2 linked regions of the Tribolium castaneum genome follow. The protein of the gene in region 1 purifies or fractionates together with the protein of each later gene. This does not show direct contact. Links are inferred from orthologs where the notes say so. Each region holds a gene or a part of one and is shown on either strand. Other genes may lie near its edges.

Region 1 (8,603 bases):
TTCAACACATAAAGATCTAAATTTGCTTTGAAGAAACGTAACACTATTACTGGATTTCAGGTAACTTCATTCATAATGTCCTAAATTTTTGCCGATAACACTTTTAAACACCCGAAAATGATCGGCAGATTGTTCGCTTCAAAAACCATTTTCCGAAGAGTTTTACGACCTCTATATACTCTGCCTAAAGTCAGAAACACACCAAAGCTCTTTCTTGTTACTTCCTATCCAATTTTCTCAAAAGAGCGCTCAAAAGACACAATGGATAATTTTGATTTGCACTTAAAGGCAGCTTGTGAGAAGGGTGAAGTAGCAATTACGCAACTGATGAATTCCTTCCGCGATCATATTCTGGAAACAAGCAAAGCTTACAAGGAATGTTTACAAAAACAAATCGAAATTATTGACGAAGCCACAAAAGTGGGTGCTATGTCGGCAAAATGGGACGAATTGCCCGAATATAGAAGTATAGCTACTGATTTGAGCCAACAGTTGAATACTTTTGCTACTACTGTTCATACTCTTAGTGAAATTGCTAAAAATGAAACTTTACAATACATCACGCAACAACAGAAGCAATTTAAGTTGATTGGCAAGAAGACCAAGGAACTGGAAAAATTACTAACGAACCAAATGGAAGAAATAAAGAAACTGGAGTCGAAAGTTTTAGCCAAGAGTCGAGAAAGCATACAAAAATCGAAATAAATCTAGAAAATGTTTATTTAACCAATAAAAATTTGACATTATGGTTTGGTGTTTATTTCCCATTTTGGTTATTATCTATCTTATAAAACAGACTTTTGGATTTTTGCATTTTTTTCTTTTTAAATCTCTTCGTATTTCGATGGTTAAATTTTTTTTGTGCATTTTCGAAATTAGACCAAGAGTTATACCTAGAATTACTTATTTTGTTTATTTCTTTCGATTTCGGTTGGCATTTGATCGAAATTTCGTCAAAAGATAATCTGAAAAAACAATTTGGTAGAACATTCTGTTATTTTTACCGTTTTTAACGTCTAAGCATATTTTAAAACCAAATCTTTGGTTTTATGAGATTTTGTTACATCAGATGCGATTTGATCTCGAAATTTTACAAAAAGTAAGTCAAAAAAGTTTAATTAGTTCAATAACAGTGATTTTGTTTTGAAAAATCAGTACATTTTTTTTGTTGGAAACTACATCATTTCTGATGTTTTCGTGTGTTTTATAACGTATGTCAGTTAGAAATAATGATTTCGCAAAATTTTATCCAAAACGGGCGGAGATATTTCAAGTAAAGTTAAAAAATAATATTTAATTTGCCTTTTTACAGTGTTTAACCACGTTTTTGATGTGAAAACCAAGCATTAACAATATCACCAGAAAAACAAAAAACTTGTCGAAAATACATATTAGCTGTTTCGAATCTATAAAAATATGTCGCATTTTAGTTATTAATCATTAGATCTCTATCATTGAAAGTACAAATTGCATTAGCTATCAATATTTTGATATTTTGAAGTGCATGAATAATTTATAACAGCTAATTTTGAGAGAAAATGCGACGTTGCCGTTTTTATATTTTTCACACAGCAATAGTGACTATTAGTTTTTGAACAAAACAATTACTTTGAAAGTGGCGGAATTAGGTCGAACATGATCTTATTTTTTTGTTTGAGTCCATATTTATGTCATCAAAAAATAAACTGACAAAACCTATAAATTGGTAGAAAATGTATTATTTTCATCTTTTTCAATGTCTACCCCTGCTGTTTGAAAACTGTACGTGTATTTTTAGTTTTTTTAATGATATTAATTTAGTCTGGTTTGAAAGTCTCAGCATACACAATTTTCTCCAAAATTGTGTAAAGAATTAAGCCAGAATAACAATAAATTACTGGCAAAAATTGTGGTCTTGTTCTAAATGGTCGGTGAGTTGTGTTAGAAGTTGTATTACTATTTTTACTTTTTTTGATGATTGCGAGTTAGAAGAACTATTATTTCGCAAAATTATTTTGTTAAAAACAGGACGAAGATTTATCAAATTAAGCCAAAAATTATGTTATCAGATAAGTTTGCCTTTTCCCACTGCATAAGCAAGCACGTATTTTAAACAATTACAGAATTAGGTCGGAAGCGATATAATTTTGGTTGTATCACTCGATTTTAGTTGATTGTAATTTCGTCAAAAAATAAAACACAAAACAAAATTTTGTTCAAATTTTGTTTCAACTTTACCAGCCAACATGACCAGAAAATATATGTTGGTTGTTTAGGGCAGGGAGTAATTAAAATTTATAATTTTGCGACGTTTCGATTTTTTATTAAATCTTCATCAGACACTCCCTACCCTAAACAACCAACAAATCTTTCCCGTTTTTATAAGCATATTTTAAAATAAAATTTTTAGTTTACTGATCTTTGATCTAGAAATTTCTGTCGGATTTTGCCGTTTTTTTAAGTATTTTAGCATGTACGGTTTTCTCTCGAAATTAAAACACAATAGTCAATAATAATTAGTTCCTTCAAAGATAGTGGTCAGTCAGTTAAAAATCCAAAATTTCGTTAAAAACTGTTTGAAAATATTTTTTTTGTAATTTGCCGCCCTTTTGATGTTTCAATGGGCATCTTAAAGCACGCAACGTTATCAAGAGCGATGTCATAATAAGATTAAGACTCGTCTTATAAAACTTGTTTTTAATGTACTATAAATTAGGTCAAAAATGATGTTAAATTTGCCTTTTTACAGTGTTTAAGCACGTTTTTGAAGTAAAAACAAAGTTTTTTCAACAGTAGCGCCAAACAAATAACAACTTTGTCAAAAATGAAGTTTTCAAACTAAATTGTCAGTTTTTTTGAGATTTATTTTATTTTATTATTCTTTTTGTCATTTTCGAGCGTTTTGCTAAAAACAAACAGAAAATGAGAAAGTTTTGCCGAACATATTTTAATTATTTTTGCCTTTTTTGATTTTTATTGGCGTGTTTATCTTTAGGTCATTCAACAATTCAATAAAGAGTTTGAAATTGAAATAGGCAAAGAAATCAATAAAAATGAGTTTTTTTAACAAAAAAATTGATTAAAGACATAAAAGCCCATTTAGCTACGTTTTCGTTCCAGAAAAAATGAGCACCCAAAAAGGTAACGCCCAAAGGAGTCGCTCCCAAAAACATCAAAACAAAACCGCCTTCAAAAACACCCTCCACGACACAAGTCAACGCACGAAAAACATTAACAACATCCAAATCAGCGACGTTTGTGTCCGTTGCAAGGAAATAATCGAGTGGAAAATAAAGTACAAAAAATACAAACCGCTCACACAGCCACGAAAATGTGTCAGATGTGATCAGAAAAACGTGAAGAAAGCGTATCATGTGATGTGTACAGACTGTGGAAAAAAATTTGGTGTTTGTACAAAATGTTGTGAAACGAAAGAAGTTATTACAACAAAACCGGACGAAAAGGAACAACTCAAACTGGACAACGAAATGAAGAATTTGCTACATACGCTTCCGGAACGCAAACGGAGGACGTTTTTGAGGTACATGAGCAAAAAAAGTGAGGAAGATTCGACGAATGACGAGGAGAGAAAGGAAGATTTGAAAAGCAAACTCAACGCGCTTAAGATTGACGATGACTTGGACGACTTCAGCGATTTTGATGACGTTGATTCGTCGGATGATTAAATTTTGTAATATATTGGTTGTAGAATTTAATTAAAATAATAAAATAAAAGAGCGAATATTTTTATTTGTTGCACCACGTTCTGTCAAAGCGATCTTATTTGTCATTTCGGTTAATTATCTTGTAATAAATTATATGCGTCCTACAGAAATAATGGAAGTGATGACGTTAATTCGTCTAATGAGTAAATTTAATTAGGTATTTGAATTTAATAAAATTTGAGGAATATGTTAATATGTTGCGTTTAAGTTTGGCGCCACTTGTGACATTGACATCTGTCAAAGGGTCAAAGCGCTGTCATTTGTCATTTTGTTAGCGGTGTTATTTATACATTTTGATTCAATTTCTTGTAATAATTAATATGAGTACGAAAGAATCAATGGAAATGGAAGTCGATAATCCGGCTTCTGCTGATGTTGCAAATAATCCGGCGGAAGATTCGGAAAAAAGTGTGATGGCAGCTGGGGCTGTCGGTTCTGTGACTTGTTCATTGCACCCTTTGGTGATAATGAATGTTTCTGAGCACTGGACACGTGAAAAGGCTCAAGAGGGCTCAGTCCAACGAGGTACGACACCATTTACAGTATAGTTAGTTATTTATAATGTTACATTTTAAGTGATTGGGGCTTTGATTGGTAAACAGAAGGGGCGAAACATTGAAATAATGAACTCATTTGAACTGGTATTTAGTGTAATTGGAGGGGATGTTATTATCGACAGGGATTATTACAACATGAAGGAAGAACAATGTAAGTATGTACCGTGTGGTCAACGGAATTTGTAATCACTAATCAGAGTAGGGAAGATTTTTTCTGTATGGTTGGTTGCGTTTGTTGTAATTGAGACTCATTTATTTCTTCAATTTCATTGAATAAGATCTGTTGTAAATTATAATGAAGTTTAGCCAGACTGCAAATTTTTTGTGGGAGGTAGGCAACGTTTAGGGTTACCATCAGATTTTTTTTAGCTTTGGACACCACAATAAAATGACTAACAACAATAACTTACATTCTTATATTATCGTATTATCGTATATAAAATACTCTGGTAATGGCATCTTATTACCTGACTTCTCGTTTGTATTAAGAATTTTTACTTAGTTTAATAAAAATAAATTTATTTTCAAATAAAATATTACAAAACCAAAAAAACATTGCCAATAGTTTTAATAGTATGTACTGATACAAGAAATATAACAAACAGCATTAGTATAAAAAATATTGTAGTAATAATATTGTACAGAGTGCTGTATTTTGGATGTCGGAATAGGAGATCTCCGAAACTAAGAGATTTAGAGAAAAACAAGTGACACATTCTTGGGTCCGTTTTTTGAGAATATAATCTTGGTCTAAACCGCATCTTGCTATCGTTTTTTGTTTTCGACTTATAAACAAAAGTTGACATTTTAGTGTCAACTTTATACAGAAAAAGCGAAATGTATTTTTTTTAATATTTAAAAAGAATGTATTACACATCAAATCAGAAAAAAATTAGCTTTACAAAAATATTACAGCCTCCTATAATTCATATTTAAAAAAATAAAACTTATTACAGCTAAACGAAAGGTTAAAAAAATCGCTGATAACATTTTTAAATTCTCTGTAAAAAGTGCTTGTATAATGTTTGTGTTTCAAATGTGTATCTTTTATAATAAGGAAGATATATATGATTTTTTTTAAGATTTCGTTAAAATGTCAAGTTCTGTTGATAAGTCGAAAACAAAAGATGATAGCGGGATGCGGTTGACCAAAATTATTTTTTAAAAAAACGGACCAGAAAATGTGTCACTTGTTTTTCTCTAAATCTCTTAGTTTTGGAGTTCCCCTATTCCGACATCTAAAATGCAGCAGCCTGTACAATGAGTGTTAGAATGATTCACATCTAATCATCTGTGAATTTCTCATGTAAAAGAACATATAACTAATGATAGGCATTTAGACATTGAATATTAACATTCTGTATTTATTATTTCAAAGTTAACTAGATGAGAATCATTTAAAAACACATTGTATAAACAGTAAACCACCTTTCTGCATCATTTTTTTTGCAAAACTATCCGGTATCCTGTTTGCAAAATGTAAATTCAATTTTTAGAAGTTGTATATCTACATTTTTCCAATTCACTCCAAGTTTTTTTTAATATTCAAAGTATTTGTTGGAAACAACTAGATAGTTTCGAATTCAGAAAAATTACAGATGGAATTAAGCGTTCTATCGCAGAGTTTTTAAAATTGGTCGTTAATTTTAATTTTAGATACAACAAAATTTAAATTACCCTAAGAAAACTGGACATTTATTACAAATTAACATTTGATCCGGATACCGGACATATCGTCTAATATCCGGATTGTATTGAGTGAAAACCGGACAGGTGGCAACTCTAACAAGGTTGCTATAAACTGTAAAGTATGGATACAGTAGCTGAAAATTTTATAAACAGTAAAGTTCATGTAAATGCGGAATAATATTTTTCTGACTCCTGTGAGTTCGCAGTAAAGCGATGGCAGTCCATTTACCGAATACGGTGTATATATTTTTTCATTTTTTTTTTTATTAATTTTTCTCAAGTTTTGCGCTTAGTTATGACAATTATTCGCCTTTCAAGTTAAGACCTTTGGTTTTTCTGGTTGTTAATTGTGAAATGCTGCTTTGCCATATAGCGGGAAATTTAAATGTAATTTTTTTGAAAAGGTACAAACGTTTTTTGTCTGTTTGACACTTTTAATAGATCTTTTATGGTACTCTAGCTGCCAAAATCAAATTTCGCAAGGGAGTGGTTCACCAGAGAGCGCAGAGATCTTGGCTTGAAAGGTGAATACAAATAATAAAAATAAGAAAACTACTCTTATTGTAAATTCAAACACTAGAAAACACAAAAATTGTTTGTTAACAATCTATTGCAGTCAAGCAGGTGTTCAGTGACATGGATTTCATTGGTTGGTACACCACCGGAGACATCCCCAACACCACTGACATTAAAATCCATAAGCAAATATGCGACATTAATGAATCTCCAATTTTGCTTAAATTAAATCCCTACGACAAAAACATTGATGTTCGTACACAGGCTGCATTTTAAGTGTTAGTTTTAACATAATTATTTTAGCATTTGCCGGTTGCTCTTTACGAGTCTGTAATTGATTTGATTGGGGGCGAAGCAACAATGTTATTTGTTAATTTGTCTTATACTCTGGCAACCGAAGAAGCAGAAAGAATTGGAGTAGATCATGTGGCGAGAATGTCTTCAACGGACTCAGGAGAAAGCTCTCTTGTTGCAGAGCATTTGACAGCGCAACACAGTGCTATCAAAATGTTGCATTCTAGAGTTAGGCTGGTTTTAGAGTATATGAAAGCTGTACAAAGTGGACAGTTGCCTACAAATCACGAGATTTTACGAGAGGCTTATTCGTTGTGTCACCGATTACCTGTTATACAAAGTGCAAGGTTTCGACAAGATTTTTATAATGTAAGTATTTTTTGCACACGTAGTTTTTAGTTATCTGGAAAGCAATTTTCCACATTTTTGGCCGCGACAACTGTCATTGACATGTTTGCTCGTCGAAATATGAATTTATCGAAGAACTGTCGTCGGCCAAAAAGTTTTGTACGTTAGGTATTTTACAGCGTTCAGTTTTTGTCAATATTAAAACTTCACGCTGTGAAATTAAACCTATCGCACGTATAATGTAAATAAATAACTATTGTTGTACTTACTGTCACGTGTTTTTACAGCAATGCAACGATGTGGGCCTTATGACGTATTTAGGGACTTTAACAAAGGGCTGTAATGATCTCAACCAGTTTGTGAACAAATTCAACATTTTGTATGACAGACAAGGACTGGGCAGGAGGATGAGAGGAATTTTCTTTTAATTCGTAAAAAAAGCAATTTTATTTATAACCCTCAGTTCTGTATTAAAGTTTCTATTAAACAATCCTTCCATATTACAAATTGTCTTTTATTGTATTTTGCGGCAATTTTTATCAAAAGAGCTTATAAAAGGCAATGATACTTGTATAAAAATTTTGGGAAGACTACAGTTTGTAATTTCTTCTTCACTTGAGTGGTGATTGTGTGCGGTACAGAGAGATGTTTGTGATTTTTATCACAGAAGCAATTTTTAAATAACTGTTATTAACACAACACGGTGAATACACAAAAAATCTCCCTGTTTTTACAAAATATTTGCTAACTGCTGCTTCTAAACCCCACATTAGTATAGAAGTGGTTTTTTTACACAATGATAATCTGTTAGTTCCTCTCCAACAAAAATATTTTCAAGATGGCGGCCCTTTGGCTTTATCGGAAAATCATATGTATACAGGGTGTCTCAAAATTGACGCCCGTGCTTTTAGGGTTTGCTTCAGAAAACTAAAACAAATCGAAAGCTGGAAAATTGTCTGATTGTCCTTCGTTATCGAGTTATTGATAAGAAACTAAAATTTAGATATTAAATTTTATTAAAAGCGAATTTACTAAATTTGTTGTCACAAAATAAGCTACAATGCGATTTAGAAACTTTTCCGTATATGCCCTAGCCTCTGCAGCGGCATTGCCATAATACACACCTGTAACCGAGCTTTTAACAATCGACAAATCTCGAATGTAATAATGTAGTAGTATCGTATCATTTTAAACATACAAAACCGAAAGAAATTAATAATACTCCTCACTAGACAGAGTGATTCAAAGAATTTTAACATCGCTAACGTCAACTAATGAATTATGTTCCACAAATAATTGGTAAGACATAATAAGCTTATTATTTACATTTTTCTCAATAACTCGAAAACTAAAGGCAATTGGATTTTTTTTTACTCTTAACTTTCGATTTGTTAATACAATCTAGGTAGTTAATACCTAATACTAGGTAGTTAATACTACCTAAGTCAAATTCCCAGCGCACGGTCGTCAATTTTGAGACATTCTGTATATGTTA
Region 2 (7,369 bases), on another chromosome or scaffold:
AAACGAGAAGATCATGGGGGCTTGGCCTCCGGCCACGCCCCCATGCCCAACCTACCGTACTATCCGCTATCAATAATTTACAATCAATCAAGCTAGCCGCGTATCTGTGATACTGTTCGGCGGTTAGTTGCAAACTCTCCCTAATTTCGCGAAAAGTGAGCGAATCCGTGTGTTCAAACAGCAACAAAGTGGCCATTTGAAACGTCTGCATTGTCACTAGATACGATTTTTTCAAATGGCCCAACTTCAATTCCGCTTGACACAAATTATGCAACCATGTCAATTTGCGACCGTTGAACCTATTATGATAGAAATTTTCAAACTGTAAGAGAATCATTTTAAGCCACGCCCACATGTGTACCATCTCACCATTTGTACGCTCTTCTCCAGTTGTCTAGGATACGTAAAAGGCGTGGTCACCGTCTGGCCCAATGGCCACGCCCCTGCTTGTAATACGTATATACTGAAATTAATTCCGAGGTCGATGTTGTCTTGTTTCAAAAATGCGTTAAATTTATTATTGAGATCCGCACTCACTGACATATCGGTAAACATTCGATGCAATTTACTTGTAAATTCGTAACCGCATGCTTGTTTTAAACGATTGATCATGGCCTCCTCCGCATCCATACTTTGCGTTTGTTGGTGGATGAGGCGTTTGGCCAACATTCGAGAATAGAATTTTTGAAATACGTCTTTGTCGTCGATATATTTGAAAATTGTTATGCTCTCGGCGAGCTTTTCGTCCACCTGGAAATAATCGTTTTTTCATAACCAACGAGGTAAACATTTTTTTTTATTTTTCATGACCAACGCGGTATACAATTTTTTTTATTTTTCATGACCAACGCGGGAAACAATTTTTTTGAGTTTTCCTGACGAACAGGAAAATCGAATTTTAAAAATTTGATTTTCCAATTTTTTTTATTTATTATTATTAAAAAAATTAAATTAAAATTCCAAATTTTATGGATTTGTAACGTTGGGAGATTAATTTACAGCAAGGAATATTTTCAAAAATTTAACTTTAACTGCCGTAACAACAACCAATGAGTCAACCAAATCTCTTTGTTCACACGTTTGCAGATAATATTTTTTTTGTTAGTGACGTTTTATCCGGATATTCTTACACAATTATTACGGATGTGCCGTTTTATTTTAATCAGTTTGTCACTTGCTAGTGTCGCGTACGGACGTCTTATAAACTTAGAAATTAAATTAAAAAAATCAACATTTTGCTAACTTTTAAATTTGTGTTTAAATAAATAGTGCGCGATTTTTTAATTATAGTGAATGCCAATTGGAATAGATCTCTGAAATCGTGTTACAAGGATCCGGATTAAAGGGTTAGTTTGAAAAATTTTTTTACAGAAAAATTACATTAAATTAAATTAATGACGTCCCAGGTTAAAATTACACGGAATTTTTGAATAATTAATAATTAAATGAGCAGTTTAAACATTTAATTTATATAATTAATTTATTTCTTTTGTAATTTTAGTTTCATTGGTTTGTACATTAAACTTTTTTTTCATTTTTTTATTTTTTGAGGATTAACTTAAATAAATAGCCTTGACTCACAACAATATCTAATAAATAAATAAGTAAAATCATAATCTTCTCAATTATTTTAAGTGCAGTTTCTACATAAAACCAGTTACTCGTATTTTTAGATTAATTTTATTGTTACCATAATTATATAGATTTTTTTTAATTTCAGTAAGTTCGTGTATGAAGATGAGGCTTGCTATAAAGGGTAGCAGAAGTAGATGCCTAAGGTGAGTGTTTTTTTTTTCGTATTGATTTGTGTTTTTATTTATTTATTTATAATTTATTTTTAATGCACTTTTTTGCGAGACCCTGTATAATAAATAATACGAATAATCTCAAAATAAAACTTTTGACAACAAAGTTATTTAAAATTAATCAGTTCTTCAACAGTAAATAAATAAAAACAATAAAAGTTTTTAAGTAAAAGTAAGAAAAAAAATCAAACTTACCTCCGAATCGCTAATCCCTTTACTCGACTTGCGCAACAATGCGTCGCAATACTTGGCCAAAAATTCGGGGCTTTTACACACAGGCTTGCCAAACTTGTGATTAATAACGGAACTGCAGGCCTTATCCAAAGCCCCCATAAAATTCTGATCCGACTTGAACACCTCTTGAATCAACAATTTATATTTTTTATAAACCGCTAGCATATTTTCGACGAACGTTATGTGAATATTTTCGGTATCAATATTACCAACAGCCTAAGAACAACAATAAAAAAATCCCTAAATCGGTAAACCACTCGTGTAAAAGCAACAAACCGTCAATCCTTGCGTCTTAATATGGTCCAGAACGGTATCAACAAGCACAACCATTGCATTTTGGACGCTTTTGAGCAGATCGTACATATTTGAGAGGTCCTTTTTGCGCTCACCCTGTACCATTGCCACGCATTCGCTGTATAAAAAGTCCAAATGTTCGGCCACCATGTGTGTTTCACATCGTTGGGAGACTTTCGGGAGGGAACTGGTGTGGAGGAAGCGACGTGCACGTAACAGTTCCTCCTCAATTCGTCCCTTGACGCGCTCCATATACAGGGAGACGTTTTTCTCTTGCAAAAGTTTGGCAGCGTCGCGTTTAAAATGCTCGCCGCTTTCTTTGAGGAACGGCTCCTCAAATAACTCCTGGTACAGTTGCAGTTGGCCCTTTTTCTTGTAGCCCTGCACCTGTTTTCAATTATTGTGAAAAATTTTGTTAGAAAAATAAAAATCATTCAAAATTACGTATGTATGCAAGATTACAGCACATTCGAATAACACGAACTCTCGCAAATTTGTGTCAGAAAAATTAAACAGACAGATAAGACAATAAGCAAGTTAAATAAGAGCTTTAAAAAACACTCGTTTTAGGCGAAATTTTGTCAAAAAAATTGGTCGGTAATGGTGTTATTTTTACGCAAGATTTGCAAAAACAAAGCGAAAAATTACGAACTAAACCGATAGCTTTGGCCTTTTTGGCTTGATCAAAGTTTTAGATTACTTTTAAGTCAGAAATAATTACATATTTCGCAAAATTTCATTAACGACCACTTCAGAAATACGCCAAAATGAGTTTTTTTTAAGTTTTTGAAGCCTTTAAGTACATTTTATAACTAAAATTTCGACAATCGCTTAAAAAACACCCAACTAGTTCGGAAATTATATTATGATTTTCCCTTTTCGGTCGTTAATTTACAAAATAAGTCAAAAAATCATCAAATTTCGCCGAAAATCGAGTATTTTTTGCACGTTTCTGCGTTAAAACAAAGTTTTTTCGAATAAACGGACGGAAAAATCACGTAATTAGATCGAGTTTTTAAGTTATTTTAAGTTGAATGAAAAATAAAAAATACGAAATACTCAAAACTAGACTGAAAACTATATTATTTTGACATTTTCAAACTTTTAAGCACGTTTTTGAGTTAAAACAAAGGTTTCTCGAATAATAAGGCTAGAAAATCACCACATTAGATCAAACTTAATGTTATCTTAGCCTATTTAAGACGACTTACCTCATTTTTGAGCAAAAAACAACGCCAAAAGTGACTTTTCTGTTTGCATTCCTCGAAAATTTCGCTCGTTTTTTAGTCAAAAATTCATTATTTCAGAAACTTTAGTTAACAAAATCTCGAAAAATCACCAAATTAGAAGAAAAACATCGAGTTATTTTGTGCTTTTTCAAGCCTCTAACCATGTATTTTAACTTAAAAACAATTTTTTTTCCAATTAACTTGCAGAAAAACCACCAAATTATATTGAAACTGATGTTATTTTAACTTGATTTAATTCGTTTGTAGGCGAAACTTTATTAAAAAAGCATTATTTGGTTGATTTCGCGCCTTTTTGGTAAGTTTTTGAACAAAAATTTCTAGGTGTTTTCAAAATTTCGCTAAACCAAAACCAAAAAAAAAACCAAAATAAAGTCGAAACTAGACCGAAAATTATATTATTTTGACATTTTCAAGCTATCAAGTACGTTTTTGAGTTAGAAACAATGTTTTTCGAATAAATAAACTAAGAAATCACCAAAACTAGATCAAAACTAATGTTATCTTAGCCTATTTAAGACGATTTACCTCATTTTTGAGCAAAAAAGAAAGTCAAAAGTGACTTTCTGTTTGCATTCCTCGAAAATTTCGCTCGTTTTTTAGTCAAAAATCCATTATATCAGAAATTTTACTTAACAAAATCTCGAAAAATCACCAAATTAGATGAAAAATATCGAGTTATTTTGTGCTTTTTCAAGCCTCTAATCATGTATTTTACCTTAAAAACATTTTTTTTCCAATTAACTTGCAGAAAAACTACCAAATTATATTGAAACTGATGTTATTTTAACTTGATTTAGTTCGTTTGAAGGCGAAACTTTATTAAAAAAGCATTATTTGGTTGACTTCGCGCCTTTTTGGTAAGTTTTTGAACAAAAATTTCTAGGTGTTTTCAAAATTTCACTAAACCAAAACCAAAAAAAAAACAAAATAAAGTCGAAACTAGACCGAAAATTATATTATTTTGACATTTTCAAGCTATCAAGTACGTTTTTGAGTTAGAAACAATGTTTTTCGAACAAATAAACTAAGAAATCACCAAAACTAGATCAAACTTAATGTTATCTTAGCCTATTTAAGACGATTTACCTCATTTTTGAGCAAAAAAGAAAGTCAAAAGTGACTTTCTGTTTGCATTCCTCGAAAATTTCGCTCGTTTTTTAGTCAAAAATCCATTATATCAGAAATTTTACTTAACAAAATCTCGAAAAATCACCAAATTAGATGAAAAATATCGAGTTATTTTGTGCTTTTTCAAGCCTCTAATCATGTATTTTACCTTAAAAACATTTTTTTTCCAATTAACTTGCAGAAAAACTACCAAATTATATTGAAACTGATGTTATTTTAACTTGATTTAGTTCGTTTGAAGGCGAAACTTTATTAAAAAAGCATTATTTGGTTGACTTCGCGCCTTTTTGGTAAGTTTTTGAACAAAAATTTCTAGGTGTTTTCAAAATTTCACTAAACCAAAACCAAAAAAAAAAACAAAATAAAGTCGAAACTAGACCGAAAATTATATTATTTTGACATTTTCAAGCTATCAAGTACGTTTTTGAGTTAGAAACAATGTTTTTCGAACAAATAAACTAAGAAATCACCAAAACTAGATCAAACTTAATGTTATCTTAGCCTATTTAAGACGATTTACCTCATTTTTGAGCAAAAAAGAAAGTCAAAAGTGACTTTCTGTTTGCATTCCTCGAAAATTTCGCTCGTTTTTTAGTCAAAAATCCATTATATCAGAAATTTTACTTAACAAAATCTCGAAAAATCACCAAATTAGATGAAAAATATCGAGTTATTTTGTGCTTTTTCAAGCCTCTAATCATGTATTTTACCTTAAAAACATTTTTTTTCCAATTAACTTGCAGAAAAACTACCAAATTATATTGAAACTGATGTTATTTTAACTTGATTTAGTTCGTTTGAAGGCGAAACTTTATTAAAAAAGCATTATTTGGTTGACTTCGCGCCTTTTTGGTAAGTTTTTGAACAAAAATTTCTAGGTGTTTTCAAAATTTCACTAAACCAAAACCAAAAAAAAAAACAAAATAAAGTCGAAACTAGACCGAAAATTATATTATTTTGACATTTTCAAGCTTTCAAGTACGTTTTTGAGTTAGAAACAATGTTTTTCGAACAAATAAACTAAGAAATCACCAAAACTAGATCAAACTTAATGTTATCTTGGCCTATTTAAGACGATTTACTTCATTTTTGAGCAAAAAAGAAAGTCAAAAGTGACTTTCTGTTTGCATTCCTCGAAAATTTCGCTCGTTTTTTAGTCAAAAATCCATTATATCAGAAATTTTACTTAACAAAATCTCGAAAAATCACCAAATTAGACGAAAAATATCGAGTTATTTTGTGCTTTTTCAAGCCTCTAACCACGTATTTTAACTTAAAAACTTTTTTTTTCCAATTAACTTGCAGAAAAACCACCAAATTATATTGAAACTGATGTTATTTTAACTTGATTTAGTTCGTTTGTAGGCGAAACTTTATTAAAACAGCATTATTAGGTTGATTTCGCGGCTTTTTGGCAAGTTTTTGAACAAAAAATTATATTATTTTGACATTTTCAAGCTTTCAAGTACGTTTTTAGTTAGAAACAATGTTTTTCGAATAAATAAACTAAGAAATCACCAAAACTAGATCAAAACTAATGTTATCTTACCCTGTTTTACACCGTTTACCTCATTTTTGAGCAAAAAACAAAGTCAAAAATAACGTTTTTTTCGAATTCCTTCAACATTTCGCTCGTTTTTCAGTCAGAAATTCATTATTTCAAAAATTTTAGTTAACTAAATCCCCAAAAATCGCCAAATTAGACCAAAATTATCGACTTATTTGTACCTTTTCCAAGCCTTTAACCACGTTTTTTAATTTAAAAACAAAGCTTTTTCGAATAACTAACAGAAAAATCGCCAAATTAGATTGAAATTGATGTTATTTTCACCTGATTTCGTTCTTTTAGGCACGTTTTTGAACAAAAATCTCTAGGTGTTTTCAAAATTTTGCGAAACAAAACCAAAAAAAAACACAAAATAAAGACGAAACCAGGCCAAAATTTTTCAAACTGAACGTTTTTGAGTGAAAAACAAAAGTTTTTCGAATAAACAGGCCAAAAATCACCACATTAGGCCAAAAATCACCACATTAGGCCAAAAATCACCACATTAGGCCAAAAATCCGAGTTATTCTGTGCCTTTTATCAGGTTTTTTAATCAAAAAACACACTTTTTTCCAAATAAATTTCCCAAATTAGATCGAAATTAATATTATTTTAACATATTTCCCTTGTAAGCGAATATTTATTAAAAAAGAAAAAACAAAATTTGGTGTGTTTCAAGCTTTTTAGGCAAGTTTTGAACTAAAATCTTCTAAGTGTTTACCTCAACAAAACTAAGAATTGTGCCCCTGACTGCATCAATCGGTATAGCACACGTATTTTGCGCCCTATCCTCCCCAATCGCCTCCAGTAGCAGTTTAACAAGCCTTTGCCCCAAGGGGGCTATCATCCCCGACTGCCACACCTCCAGCGCCAACTCCCCGATCTCCATTTGTTCGCCCCCTGACGAATCCGAACTCCCGTAAATAATCTCAGCATCGGACAGTTTCTGAGTCCTTATATGTTGCTGGTTGAGGTACAAGTACAAACTGTGCAAGTACTGACTCCCTACCGAGTACTGCGACCAATAATGGTAGTAACTTTTCACCAAATTGGCCTCGCCCTCGTCCTGCACTTGCACAAGCAGTTTGGAGACGTGGTCGATGAGGTACTGC

Evidence for each region. Proteins that work in one complex are often made in the same cells at the same time.
Region 2: the proteins of CSN6 (region 1) and Cul2 purify together in Homo sapiens (affinity purification with mass spectrometry; 5 studies listed by BioGRID and IntAct, counting the BioPlex papers as one, with this or other methods). This does not show direct contact. The link is inferred for Tribolium castaneum from reciprocal best matches to the Homo sapiens genes COPS6 and CUL2.

The regions. Positions count from the first base shown.
Region 1 is NC_087398.1:15,417,767-15,426,369, forward strand, and holds CSN6 (COP9 signalosome complex subunit 6), read left to right. Parts: upstream 1-3,938; 5' UTR 3,939-4,024; coding exon 4,025-4,229; intron 4,230-4,280; coding exon 4,281-4,412; intron 4,413-6,566; coding exon 6,567-6,718; intron 6,719-6,769; coding exon 6,770-7,129; intron 7,130-7,395; coding exon 7,396-7,536; 3' UTR 7,537-7,615; downstream 7,616-8,603. Other genes in the region: uncharacterized protein C9orf85 homolog, read left to right, coding at 3,105-3,665. UniProt on the Homo sapiens protein: Component of the COP9 signalosome complex (CSN), a complex involved in various cellular and developmental processes.
Region 2 is NC_087401.1:15,830,277-15,837,645, forward strand, and holds part of Cul2 (cullin-2), read right to left. Parts: coding exon 6,979-7,369; intron 2,721-6,978; coding exon 2,316-2,720; intron 2,256-2,315; coding exon 2,001-2,255; intron 751-2,000; coding exon 370-750; intron 323-369; coding exon 56-322; intron 1-55.